Drosophila melanogaster: one gene and its partners. The protein of the gene in region 1 purifies or fractionates together with the protein of each later gene. This does not show direct contact. Each region holds a gene or a part of one and is shown in the gene's direction. Other genes may lie near its edges.

Region 1 (4,904 bases):
GCGACGTTCGGGGTATTCAATTAACTAATCAATTTATGTGGTGCCCTGACAGCTCCTGCTCATTGGCTACCGCTACTGCAGCAAGCGACGCATCAACTCGATGAACTTCGAGAACCCCATCTACCGCAAGACCACCACCACAGAGGATCACTTCAGTTTGCGCAAAAATCTGCCGGCGCGGATCTACGACCACACCAGTGTCATGGATGAGGAGGTGGGTCTCCAATTATTAATTACCATAAAAATCCAAGTATAATGATAAGCATTGGGTTTAACACACCCGCAAATGATTTAATTTCCCTTCCATAATATTAATCGGTATACTTATTATAATTTATCTTAATTTATCTTGCAGTACTCACCCGTCATAGGCATATCCTCGTATTAGATTGATTCCTCTGGAATCGTGTGAAATGTGGATTGGATGATTGTTGCGCTTGGTCGCTGGGAAAATTAGATGACCAATGCTAACTCGAGACCCGCGGCAGAAACACACACGCCTGAAGACTGAGCAACTCTGTGTATTGTGTAAATTAATTATTTTAAAATTTTAAGGCACGGCAAGGACGGCGGGTCACCTTGGAGCGCATCCTTAAAGGATGCTGTACAAAATACTATGTCGCAGAGTTCTATCACAAATAAACAAAAGAAAAACAAAACAGAAATAGTTACGAGAAACGTAAAAGGAAACGAGAAATCTAATTGCTAATTATAAATTACATAGTTCCAAACTGTATATAGCTGTAAGTGTGCATTATTTTTAAATGACGCAACTTAATATTACTATACGTAAACATGACAAAGAGATCATTGTGCTTATGGTCTACTATTAGAGCAAGTTGAGAAATTATATTTCTGTTGTCAAGGAGCAGAGTCGTTTTATTATATTAAAATTATTACTGCATACGTATTAGCCTTTTGTTAACTGTATTTGTTAAGTGTACATACATATGTATATGTTTCCCCACTAAAAAGAAAATATGATGAATAATAAACTCAGAACATACTTATGTGTAGCGTACTCCTGTGATATAATTACATGACTTTGTGGATGGGATTTTAATTTGATTGATTTCAAAGTGTGAGTGGTAAGTTGCCAGCTATTTTTCCAGTTTTTATTTCCAACATTGTCCAATTTACAATTTTTTGCTGAATTTGTAGCATTTCGTTTCATCTTCAGATGCACAGCTGTTAAAAATGCACATATATTTCTGTTCCTTGAAGAAATCTCAATTGGAAATGTACCGAAGGGGAATAATTCATCAAAGCTTGATGATTTTACACTTTGATGATATCCAGACTTGCTAAAAGCCCATCGTGTTTCTCAAGCATCTTTGTTATTCAAATGGAAACCATGTTATGAATTGAAATGCAGAGGTACAGGTGCTGTCAATAGATCAATTTCCGCTACAGTAAATGGTTTAACATTTATTGACCAATTGTGATTTACGTGTGTCTATGCTACAAAGCCCATTACTAGTTTCAATCGAAGCCTTGACTGATTGACCCGGGCCAACAAACAATTTAGACCTGTAATTTTAGAAATTGCTACCTCACTAATTGGATGCCGAAACGACAAATAGTGGAACACACCTCCAAAATAGATTGATACACGTTCTAAGAGAGCGGCCGAAGAGAGAACCACCTGTTAGCTCTGATTCAATGTCAGCTTATTTGCGCACTGGTAGCTTTGTCTTCTCTTTGTGTTGGAGATCGAGGCTTTTGATTTTCAACGCTTTGGGGCTCCCCCCGATGATGACGTCGACACTCTCTTTTCTCTTCGCAGGTGTGATATGGTACGCGTGGCGATCGTCGGTTCGTTGCCGAACGAAAGACGAGCACTGCCGAAGTTTCTAAGACGGTTCCATTGGTCCGCTCACTTCGGAAGCGATATTCCGGCAGTTTGTACTCGCAGTGCGTGTCGCTAGGTCGTCGCTGGTCGCTTATCGCTCATACGCCCCATGCTTTGGATATAACTTCACCGTTAAACCGAGAAATTTCGGAATGCGAAAAAAGTTTCGGAAAGCAAAAGTTCAAAGCAAATAAAAAAAAGTTCAAGCCGGGGCTTTAAGGCCAGCTCATCGCATTTGTCGAGCGGAAATAAGTGTTAATTAAAAAAAAATGTATGAATCTATTTTGGCCGAACGTTACGTCAATATGTCATGTGAAAAAACAGCATAAATTTTAGTCCAACATGTGTTTTGCCATTCAATAAAGTAAATACAAGATTTGAACAACCAGAACCCATTCCGAGCTGGAATAATGGTGTCAATGGGTAGTGGCTGCGCATGACTTACCAGGCTTACCTGGCTTATCAACCGTTATACCGCTGATAGCAGATATATCCAAATAAAAAATTATTTTAATGTTTTAAAATGAGTGAGAGGGACAGCATAAGGGGCTAACCCTCGCTTTGACCAAAGGCGTCGCCCTTAGCTTGCAGTTTTATGTGTGTATTTCGTGTTTTCTGTGCTCTTATGCTGTTTTTTCGCAACATCGTATGTTTCTTTTTCCCTTCATCGCCTTTTCCGCATGTTTATCGTACCTATGCCTTACACTCTCATCCCGATACAGTCGATTCATTCTCTCACTTTTGTGAACGTTTTTTTGGCAAACGTTGCGTGTATTCGCCTAAACTTATTATTTAATGGACGTGTATAAATAAGTTGGCAAATCGAACCAGAGTGAAAAGCGTGTGTGACCCACTGAGCCTAAAGTGCAATTTCTACCGTATATATATTCTAGCAGCTGCAAAAGATGGCCACAACCTGCATGCCGCATTTCACGGAATATTTTCAAACCACCACCCAGTCAGAGTTAACAACAAATGAAAGTGCCAACAGCAGAAGCAGCAGCAGCAGCAGTGGCTGTAGAGAACCGTCCAAAACCAGTGGCTTCTTCTACAGCGCCAGCACACATTACCAGAGCAAAGTGCAGCAGCTAATCAGCTTCAGCTTCACCTCATCGTTCCACCTGCTCTTCATCACCTGCATACTGAGCATCAGCAAATTCTGCAATGCGGCGGCGGTAAATGCCGCCCATGTGACCGCTGCCACGCCCACTGCCAGCGAGATAATGCACAATCTGAGCGGATCGGCGCTGCTAGAGCGTCTGAAAGCCAGTACTCTGGGACCCACCCTCGATCAGCTGAAGCATCTGGCTCCTGCGGCAGCCAACAGCATTAGTCCTGGTACAGGATCTGGCATGGGAATCGGGATGGGACACTTTGGCAGTTCCATTAATTCGGTGCTAAACGGAAATCCTTTAAAGTTCTTGAATGTGTCAGGAAAAATCGGCACTCCTTTGGACATATGTAAGTTTTTACAAGCCCATAAAAATGGTTTATTCCTAGAAGTTCTAAATGCTAGAGGTATTTGTAGTTATAAATCTTTTAGTCACTCTTTTTATCAACTTGTATTTATTTTTATGATTCATGAAAGGCTTAAACATTCATACATATTGCCGGCGAATTATTAGAATTAGTCAACTATTAACATCACGTCACAAATTAAGCTTTCCATCATATCAAAACTAATCATTTTTGTAAGAGTTGCCGTATTTTAAATATCTATTAAAAAGCTATGAATATAAAATTCAAAACTAAAGTGCAGAATAATCAAAATTTAAACTGAAAAATAATTTAAATCACAATATACTTTGCAGCCTTAATTGAGAGTTGTAAACACTTAAGGCTCGTAATCATGGTTCGACTTTGTCGGATCTTCTTCGATTTCTCCGAGTGTAAGGGGATGCGGTGTTTATAGTTGGTGGCTCCAACTCCAACTCTCTCATTTCTGGCGATCATGCCACCAGCCATGTGTACATACGTATGCATACCCCGATTTCCAGTCCGACTCCGATTTTAGCTAAGGCTCCGACTCCGACTGACTCGGCTCAAGTTTTATTTATGTGAATTTTGTTGCCAGCCGAAAGCCAAAGCGTCTGGCAATGCCAGTAAACTGCACTTCCATTTCCATGTCCCAACATTCCACATCGTCATACGATTTCCAGACTGCAGAGCTCTTTCCCTTTTCTCCCCATGCTCCGTGCTCTTTTTTGTCGGCAGAAACCTTTTACTTTCCTCTACAACTCGCCTCTGCTTACACTGTAATAAAAGTTCCACTAAAACTCATGCTTAAAGTGACTAAAGTACCGGGATAAAATCGAGTGTGGCATACTTTTTGGCGTGCTATATATGACATTAAAAAAAAGGGTTCTTTAAAGTTCAGAATTTATGCATTTTCTTTCGGTGTACACTCTTTGCTTGTTCTGCTTCCCCTTATAATTATTCCATTTTATGCTTATTTTTTGTACCGGCCGGCATCGCTACATGAAGCGAATGGAGCGCCACTTGAAGACTTAAACTCCGGCGGCTCTTGTGAAATGTACAGAGAGAATACCGAGAAAGAGAGAAGAGGAGAGAAACCGTGGTAGACGGGGGAGCAGAGAACAAAAAGAGCAACAAGTGGCCGATTCTTGGAGTTTCTTGGCCTTGCACATTGGTCAACGTTTTTTTGTAAATCGATCCGAGCACGTGGCAGATATATGTACATTCTACTCCAACATAAACTGGAAGTAGCTCGACTTATTTATAAACATTTGTTGTTACCAAGCTGATCTCGATATCTATTTTGATTATCCCCCACCCAGAAGTAATTCAAGCACTTTAAAAAATATGGCTTAGCTTTAAAAAAACATAAACAGAAGATTGACTAACGAAGTAATTTTAGCTTCAAACGCGGCTGTTTGTAAATGACATTGAATAAGCAGGCAGTTTACATAAAGGCCTACGTAAAACATTCAAAGAACATTCAAAACATTCAAACATTCAAATTGGTAAGAAAATTGCTGAATAATCAATTATTTGCGCAAATTAAAAGTACAGTGTAGAACCAAAAATACAA
Region 2 (3,433 bases), on another chromosome or scaffold:
GTACGCAAATGGAAAAAGCAGCGGGCGCACCAATATGTCAATACTGTTTACCAATGTCTGGCATTTTGGGCATGCGGCATTTATAGTTGTTAAGTGTTTGTTATGCTTGGAATGCAAAATGGGCAGCACAATTGGTGAATATACTATACATTGAATTACGCTTGTGTGTCAATAGTTTAACGACCAAGCGACCCCATTAAAGTTATCCAACATTTGAGGCCAGTCGAATCGCACTGATAGGAACATGTTTGGCCTTACTTTACAAACTTCATATCTGGCCAATAATCATAATTCTGCAAGTGGTGTTCAATTATCGACATTAAATACAAGAGTATTAATTATAAGTTACTCTGATAACAGTGTTGTAACAACTGATTAAATTAGATTGCTTCAATAAACAAGAAGAGTTATTCACCTGATTGCATTTTACAATATATGTACATATAACACGCTTGACTTGTAAATTGCAAAATGAAAACAAATATGAATCATTGGGCAAATAATATAATATAAATAATATACCCTGCATAGAAGCAATATATACACACATATTCCATTGACTTAACTAGGTCATTTTTGATTAGTTAAGCTAATCAGTTTTATTCAAAATATTTAGGTATTGTAGAGAAAATATCATTTTATAGCATATATTCATTCATTTCTAACGAAGCATAAGCCCGGTCTTTCTTACTTCAAGCATATTTGAATGAAATACTCTTATATAAGTTTAAAACAAAATGCTAATTAACATGAATTTATGAACGCAAGGCATTATGTCACCAAGTTCAAGATCAGCCGAATTAAAACAGGCTTGTCGCCGAACGTCACTCTTTGAACAAACCCGTTTACTGGGTTTGTCGCAAACTTGTCTTCGTGAAGTGGAATTTACAACCCACTTAACATGAAGTGAAGTGAGTACATTCAGATAAAAGACCGAAGAATTGTTTATGTTTCACACAGAAACCCTATACAAGTAGATTTGTAAATAAAAGATATAAAGGCAGAGACTAAATGAGCTCATGGAGAGCCAAGAGAAACCACAAGAATTGCTCTATCGCACAGCAAGATGCAACAGTTGTCCCACCCCTCGAAGTCTGAATGCTCCTCCGTCTTTTCTCTTTCTCAGAAGAATTCATTGGGTTCGCATGAACTTGCGAATACGGCTCACTTAGAAGCGACGAAATTAGGTCATTAATAGTATTTTGCCAAGGATAAGGTCACCGCCATCATTGTTTTTTCTGGGCACTTGCGTGCAAATAGACCAATAAACAATGGGTACCGCAGTAAGGCGATGTTTTTGCGTGAGGGTGGAGCAGAATGGTGTCATCCTCTCCGGGGAACTGGAACTCACCTCCCCAAATGCCAATCTTCAGCTGGTTCCGGTCCAAGTTCTCGATGTAGTCGCCGAGCACCTTGTTCAGCACATCGGCCACCACCGCCTCGAAGACCATTGTGTCCTAGCAGATGCTCCTATTGATTTTCCTCCAAGTTTGTGGTTGTTATTCCAATTGATGTGGTCGTGGTGAGTGCTTCAAACAATCTGGCGTTCGCTGTGCGGTCTATAGTTGATCTAAAATACATGCATATGTAAACACAGAAACCAAACAGATGGAACGGAGAGACGGATTAAAACACAATGTCGATGATGTCATCGTTGAACGCATTTCAAATATTTTGGCACAATCCGCCAGGCCCATTGTTCCAAAATAAACTAACAAGCCAAACGATTGTCCAGGGTCAGCTGGAGTAGGGCTGGTGCGATTAACTCACTACTCCACTCCAGAGCACGTGTGCAACGCCCGTTCTTATCTCTATTTACTGCACCCAATTACCAGCGGCATTTCCACGCGACAAAAAAGTAGTAACTCCGTGCGATGCGCGTTCTTTAAATGCTCGCCCGAAACTAACAGCTGTTGTGTTTTCCGTTTGCGTTCTCCACCTGGGGACGCTCAATCAGCTGTTCGGTCGCGTTCCCGGGCGAATGGCAAACTGTTAGGTGACGTGTTTGACCGTGCGAATTGCTGAGCTATAGGAAAAATATTTATAAAACACCATGCAAACACGTCTTGTTTTGCTGCTGCTAGCTCTGACCCCGCTCGTCCTGGCCAAGAAGTTCAAGGAGGAGGAGAAACCGGCGTGGGCCAAAAAGGATATACGCGACTACAGCGAGGCGGACCTCGAGCGTCTGCTAGATCAATGGGAGGTAGGTAACAACACTGCGATTGGAAAGCGACACATCGGACCCAACTCTCCAGATTCGCACCTAGCAAGGGAGTAATGCCAACCCTTTAGATTCCCACCTATCTAAGGATTCATCATTTGTAGAGACGGATAACTGATACCCCTTCTTTTAATCTTCTCTTAGGAAGATGAAGAGCCCCTCGAGGATGATGAGCTGCCCGAGCACCTGCGCCCCCAGCCCAAGCTGGACCTGAGCAATCTGGACAGCAAGAGCCCCGAGGACCTGCTCAAGGTGTCCAAAAAGGGGCGCACGCTGATGACCTTCGTTTCGGTGACCGGTAATCCAACCCGGGAGGAGAGCGACACCATCACCAAGCTCTGGCAGACAAGCCTCTGGAACAACCACATCCAGGCGGAGCGCTACATGGTTGACGATAACCGCGCCATCTTCCTCTTCAAGGACGGCACACAAGCCTGGGACGCCAAGGACTTCCTCATCGAGCAGGAACGCTGCAAGGGCGTAACCATCGAGAACAAGGAGTACCCAGGTGTCAATGCGAAAAAGGACGAACTGTAGGCCGGTTCCACGGCATACCAGCACATCAAAACATTCTCACTATTTAAGATCAAAGTTCAATTAAAATAAAACAAATTTATTAAACAAACTTATTAAAGAAGCTACATATGTATTTTGCTTGGCCATTCACAGGGAAACGGCTCCGTTTGCGGGATGGAATAAATATGGATAAAAATATGAATATTTCAATAAACATATTTTGAATATAATATTTGTATCTCTATTAGATTGTTTATATACACTGCGTATGTGTCAAATCAAAAACAAAATAAATGAAAAATTTAAGCAAAACTCTAAATTAATCGCTGACCAACTACACAACTCACGGTGCCATCGGCAAAGTTATCGTATCGCCTTTCAAATGTTTCGAGCTCCAGCTCCCCTCTGTGTGACCTTAAGTCAACAAGACGCCACCCGCGAACCGCGACGTGCTCTACTTGCTCCGCCTGTTGAGTAGCTGTTCCACCAAGAAGATGCCCGTCCAAGCCAAGATCGGTCCCAGCATTCTCAATGCGGATCTCTCCAACCTAGCGGCGGAGTCACAGAAACTACTGGACAATGGAGCGGACTACCTGCATCTGGACGTGATGGACGGCACTTTTGTGCCGAATCTCACCTTTGGTCACCCCATGGTCAAGAGCTTGCGCAACAAGATCAAGGTAAGTCTGCAGTCAT
Region 3 (3,885 bases), about 16 Mb from region 1:
AACCCACTAAAAACACCAAAAGGACTGGTGCAAGGAGGTTATACGGGAAGGATAATCCGGCTATGGGTAAATATGGTAATTAAGTGGTAAGTGGTAATTATTGACTGTGCGAATTCTTGGTTAAATACTTACAGGACAGTTTAGTCATAGTTACCGACACCTTTTCTATCATGATTTCCAACTGCTTGATAAATATGTTATTCATGTACATAAAGAACACTTGATCTGGCATGCAAATGGAAATGCTGATTTTTGCGGATTTTCTGAATGGAAACGATCATCAATCGACTTATTTAATTATATGTTATGGTCTTACTTGATCATTTCTATCTTCTTAGTTTTTGGTGAGGCTTGGTATATGTAGCCTAACAGTCGACCAAACCAGGACGATTCAGGCTCATGGTGATGATTTACGACCTCTATCATCCTATCGATGTCTAATTCCTAATTATAAACATATAATGAGCACAATTTCACACACTTTCAGGCTAGACCTACTCTGTTGCATTCTAAATAAGTCTGAATATATCCGCACAGAAACACGCCTCCTAGTACAATTGAAATTAGTCCGACACGGAAACGTTTGTGCACAATGACGACAAGTGCAATTGCTAATGTTGCATATAGGATAAATTTCACCTAGGAATGAGAAAACCCATTAAATAGCAAATAGTCAAGTTTCCATAAAAAGGCGCAACAGGTACCTCGGTCGTTTGCGTCAGTTCAATTACATCCTTGAAAATATCCACCAATAAGGAGAAAAAGCCGTGTCGGACGTATGAGCATCCGGATCTTCCATTAAACAAAGGAGCCTCCTCGGCACTCTCCAATATCTTAGTCAGCAAAACGTCCAAATCCCGAGCATCCTGCACCCTCTCCAGTTCATCCAGTTGCGATGGGATCAGGGAGAAGAGCAGCGATCGCTTATGGACCGCCGACATAACATCGTACTAATTACACAAAAGTTACACACATATGACGTCATGTCGCCAACTTTGGTCTAAACAGCGATCATACCTGAAAACGCTTGCGCTGGAACAGCAGATTGACGAACTTCTTGAAGTATGTGAGTGCCACGGCATCCTCCATGGCCACTGGAGACACATCTGGACACGTAGGACACTGGCACAATTCACCGGGCTGATTGATATCGTTAACCAGGTCCGACCAGGCGGGATCCGGACTCAGCCAGGACTCATCGTTGCCGCTCTGACAGCATACCCTGTGCAATACCAACAGGAAACAACTGACCGCTGCCTCCGTTCTCATTGTCCTGGTTTCTCAATGTAATCACTCCTAGGTAGTAAGCACTCGATAATAATTATAATTCAGCGCAATTTCGTGGTAAGGCGGCTGATGCAAATTGGCAGTGTGACCAAGTCCAGTTAGCAACATCACAGCGTCACGTCAGTGCTGCAATATCTACTTATCACTTCAGGAAAATGTAGCTTTATATTTATTAGACAAACATGCTTTTATGATTTTTCTTCACTTCTACTGCAAATTGAATTATTTTTATTAAACATCTTTATCAAATAAATCAAACAAATTGTTGTAAATTGACCAAGATCAAAAATCGTAACTGCGAAAAACAAAGCATTAAAATAAAATAAAAGCTAGACTGTCAGCACCAAAGCTTTATGCGATCGCTAGATGGCCACACTGCGTGTTGTGAATAACTGTTTAGCCAGGTCAGCACTGCACCAATAATTGCAAGCTTTAAAACCGAAATAAAAACCACGAGGAAAATGGTTAGGTCAGCTCTCGTTGTTGCAGCCATCGCACTTTCCGTACTTATTGCACTGCAGGGCGTGGATGCCGACAAAAAGCAGAGCAAGAAGTACAGCAAGGAGGCCAACGACCCGCATTTTCAGCAAGTAAAGCAGGAGAAGTATGATCCGGATTTTAAGAGCATCCAGCGGCCATTTCGCATGGCCAAGTTGAATCTCGTGTGGGCCAAGGCGCAGAATGTAAGTGGACACCATAAGATATCTCATATTTAACCGTACTAACCTCGGTTACAGCGCTTAACAGAGCCCAAGCTCAAGTCACTGTACATGGAACTCAAGATCCACGATAAGGAGGAGATCGCTTGGAAGCAGCTCAACTCGCAGCACAAGGACAAAGACGGGCTGAAGGCCGACGAACTGCGCCGCAAGCTCATTGGCATCATGAGCAGCTACGATCTGCTAGAGCATTTTGACGACACTCAGGATACGGAGAAGCTTAAGCCCTACAAGGTACGTATCTAAATCATCTTTCCTAAGAGCAAGAGTTTCTCTACATCCAAGTTAACTTTAAGAAATTCCACGACGCCGAGGAGCGACACAGAAACAAGAGTCTTTTCAAGGACAAGAAACTCAACCGACTTTGGGAGAAGGCCGAGATTTCCGGATTTACTGCAGAGGAATTGAAATCCTTGAAACAGGAGTTTGACCATCACCAGGATAAAGTGGATGTGTACTACAGCTTGCTGGAAAACATTGGCACCGTAGACACCGACAAGCATGAAAGTGAGTTTGGCTAAAAACAGCACGAAAAGCATCAATTAATTTCATTGATTATTCTCGTTAGATGCTATTAACACGGAAGACTTGGACACCTACAATCTGATTTCGAATGATGTCAATGAGAACGACATCAAAACCCATGCGCAAAACGTGAAGAGTTTCGAGAACGACCTTAACACTCTGCGAGGACATCACACGGGCATCAAGGATCACTACGATAGGCTGGAACGCCTGGTGTCCTCCGGTCCACACAGTCAGGACTTCATTGAACCCAAGGTCCAGGGTCTATGGCGAGTGGCCCAGGCTAGCAATTTTACGGTTAAAGAACTGGAGTCCATTAAAACCGAATTGCATCACTTCGAAAGTCGCCTATTAAAGCTGCGTCACTTGCATGCCGAGCATGCTTTGCAAAAGGAGAAATACAAGGTATATGTTTCTTAATATCAATCAAGTTTGTAAGCCAACTAACAATTATTTATAGGGCGAAAAAGTGAAGGACAAAAGCAGCCGCTTTGAGGAAATGGAGGATCAGCTGAAGAAGCAAACTCGCAAAGTGGAGAAGCTCCAGGAGAACATTGAAAAAACCATCTTCAAGCACACCGAGCTTTAATAATTTGAAAGTGAAACACTGAAAGTGCCAAGCGAATAAATTAGATTTAATTGCAACTGTTTGTGTAACGCACAAAAATATTCATTCTTGCTGCTATTCAGCATAGATATAATTTTGATACCAAATATCATTTGAACATAAATAAAATCTCAAGTTTAATTTTGAACTATATACAATCTATTTTGACCTTTAAAAAATTCAATGTGGAAAAAATAAATTTGTAATATATTCAAAGTACAATATAGGGTTAAGAATAAACCGTTAAAAAAAACGATAAAATTAGTGTGACCATATGATAGCAGGCACAAAACGCGTATTTCCCTCCACCCAGTAGGACCGCACCTAGTATGACCGCATGCCAGTCGCATTATTGTTGTTGTCGTTTCGTTTGGTGGGCCAAAAAACAAGAAAATATTAGCTAAGCGAAAAGTTTAAAAAGTTAATATATATATGTGCAGCGGTCGGTGCCAGCGCTTTATGGGTACATAGTGCATATGTACACACACCGACATGGGCATGGTGGAGGCGTCGACGTCGGAACTGCACCTGGAGGCCCCAAATTCGTACACGTACCTCCTGGCGACCGTCAGCCTGACGCTCACTTTCATCGTTATGCTGGGCGCTTGTCTCTGCTGCAAGAAGCGGATCCCTAAGTAAGTCCTCCCCAATACCCAGAGGATCAGAGGATCCACATCGTTTCGATGGCTCTAGCGGGAACAGGGCGGTGCAGGCCAGAGAGAGAGTGAAAGTGGGTCTCTTTCTCCA

The links.
Region 2: the proteins of LpR2 (region 1) and boca purify together in Drosophila melanogaster (affinity purification with western blotting, with the first as the bait; one study listed by BioGRID). This does not show direct contact.
Region 3: the proteins of LpR2 (region 1) and CG8507 purify together in Drosophila melanogaster (affinity purification with mass spectrometry, with the first as the bait; one large-scale study listed by BioGRID). This does not show direct contact.

Annotation. Positions count from the first base shown.
Region 1 is NT_033777.3:25,737,464-25,742,367, reverse strand, and holds the start of LpR2 (lipophorin receptor 2), read left to right. Parts: upstream 1-1,902; 5' UTR 1,903-2,123; intron 2,124-2,745; 5' UTR 2,746-2,757; coding exon 2,758-3,313; intron 3,314-3,678; exon of another isoform or gene 3,679-4,341; intron 4,342-4,904. Other genes in the region: LpR1 (lipophorin receptor 1), read left to right, coding at 53-214, 356-388.
Region 2 is NT_033778.4:7,565,283-7,568,715, reverse strand, and holds boca (boca), read left to right. Parts: upstream 1-1,977; 5' UTR 1,978-2,053; coding exon 2,054-2,203; intron 2,204-2,365; coding exon 2,366-2,758; 3' UTR 2,759-2,843; downstream 2,844-3,433. Other genes in the region: Vps13 (vacuolar protein sorting 13), read right to left, coding at 1,352-1,451; Rpe (Ribulose-5-phosphate-3-epimerase), read left to right, coding at 3,232-3,417. UniProt on the Drosophila melanogaster protein: Chaperone specifically assisting the folding of beta-propeller/EGF modules within the family of low-density lipoprotein receptors (LDLRs). Acts as a modulator of the Wg pathway, since some LDLRs are coreceptors for the canonical Wnt pathway.
Region 3 is NT_033777.3:9,789,822-9,793,706, forward strand, and holds CG8507 (uncharacterized protein), read left to right. Parts: upstream 1-1,661; 5' UTR 1,662-1,748; coding exon 1,749-1,970; intron 1,971-2,024; coding exon 2,025-2,240; intron 2,241-2,302; coding exon 2,303-2,513; intron 2,514-2,574; coding exon 2,575-2,936; intron 2,937-2,991; coding exon 2,992-3,120; 3' UTR 3,121-3,277; downstream 3,278-3,885. Other genes in the region: CG12945 (uncharacterized protein), read right to left, coding at 1-60, 133-263, 317-444, 499-639, 705-950, 1,018-1,269; CG8516 (uncharacterized protein), read left to right, coding at 3,631-3,773.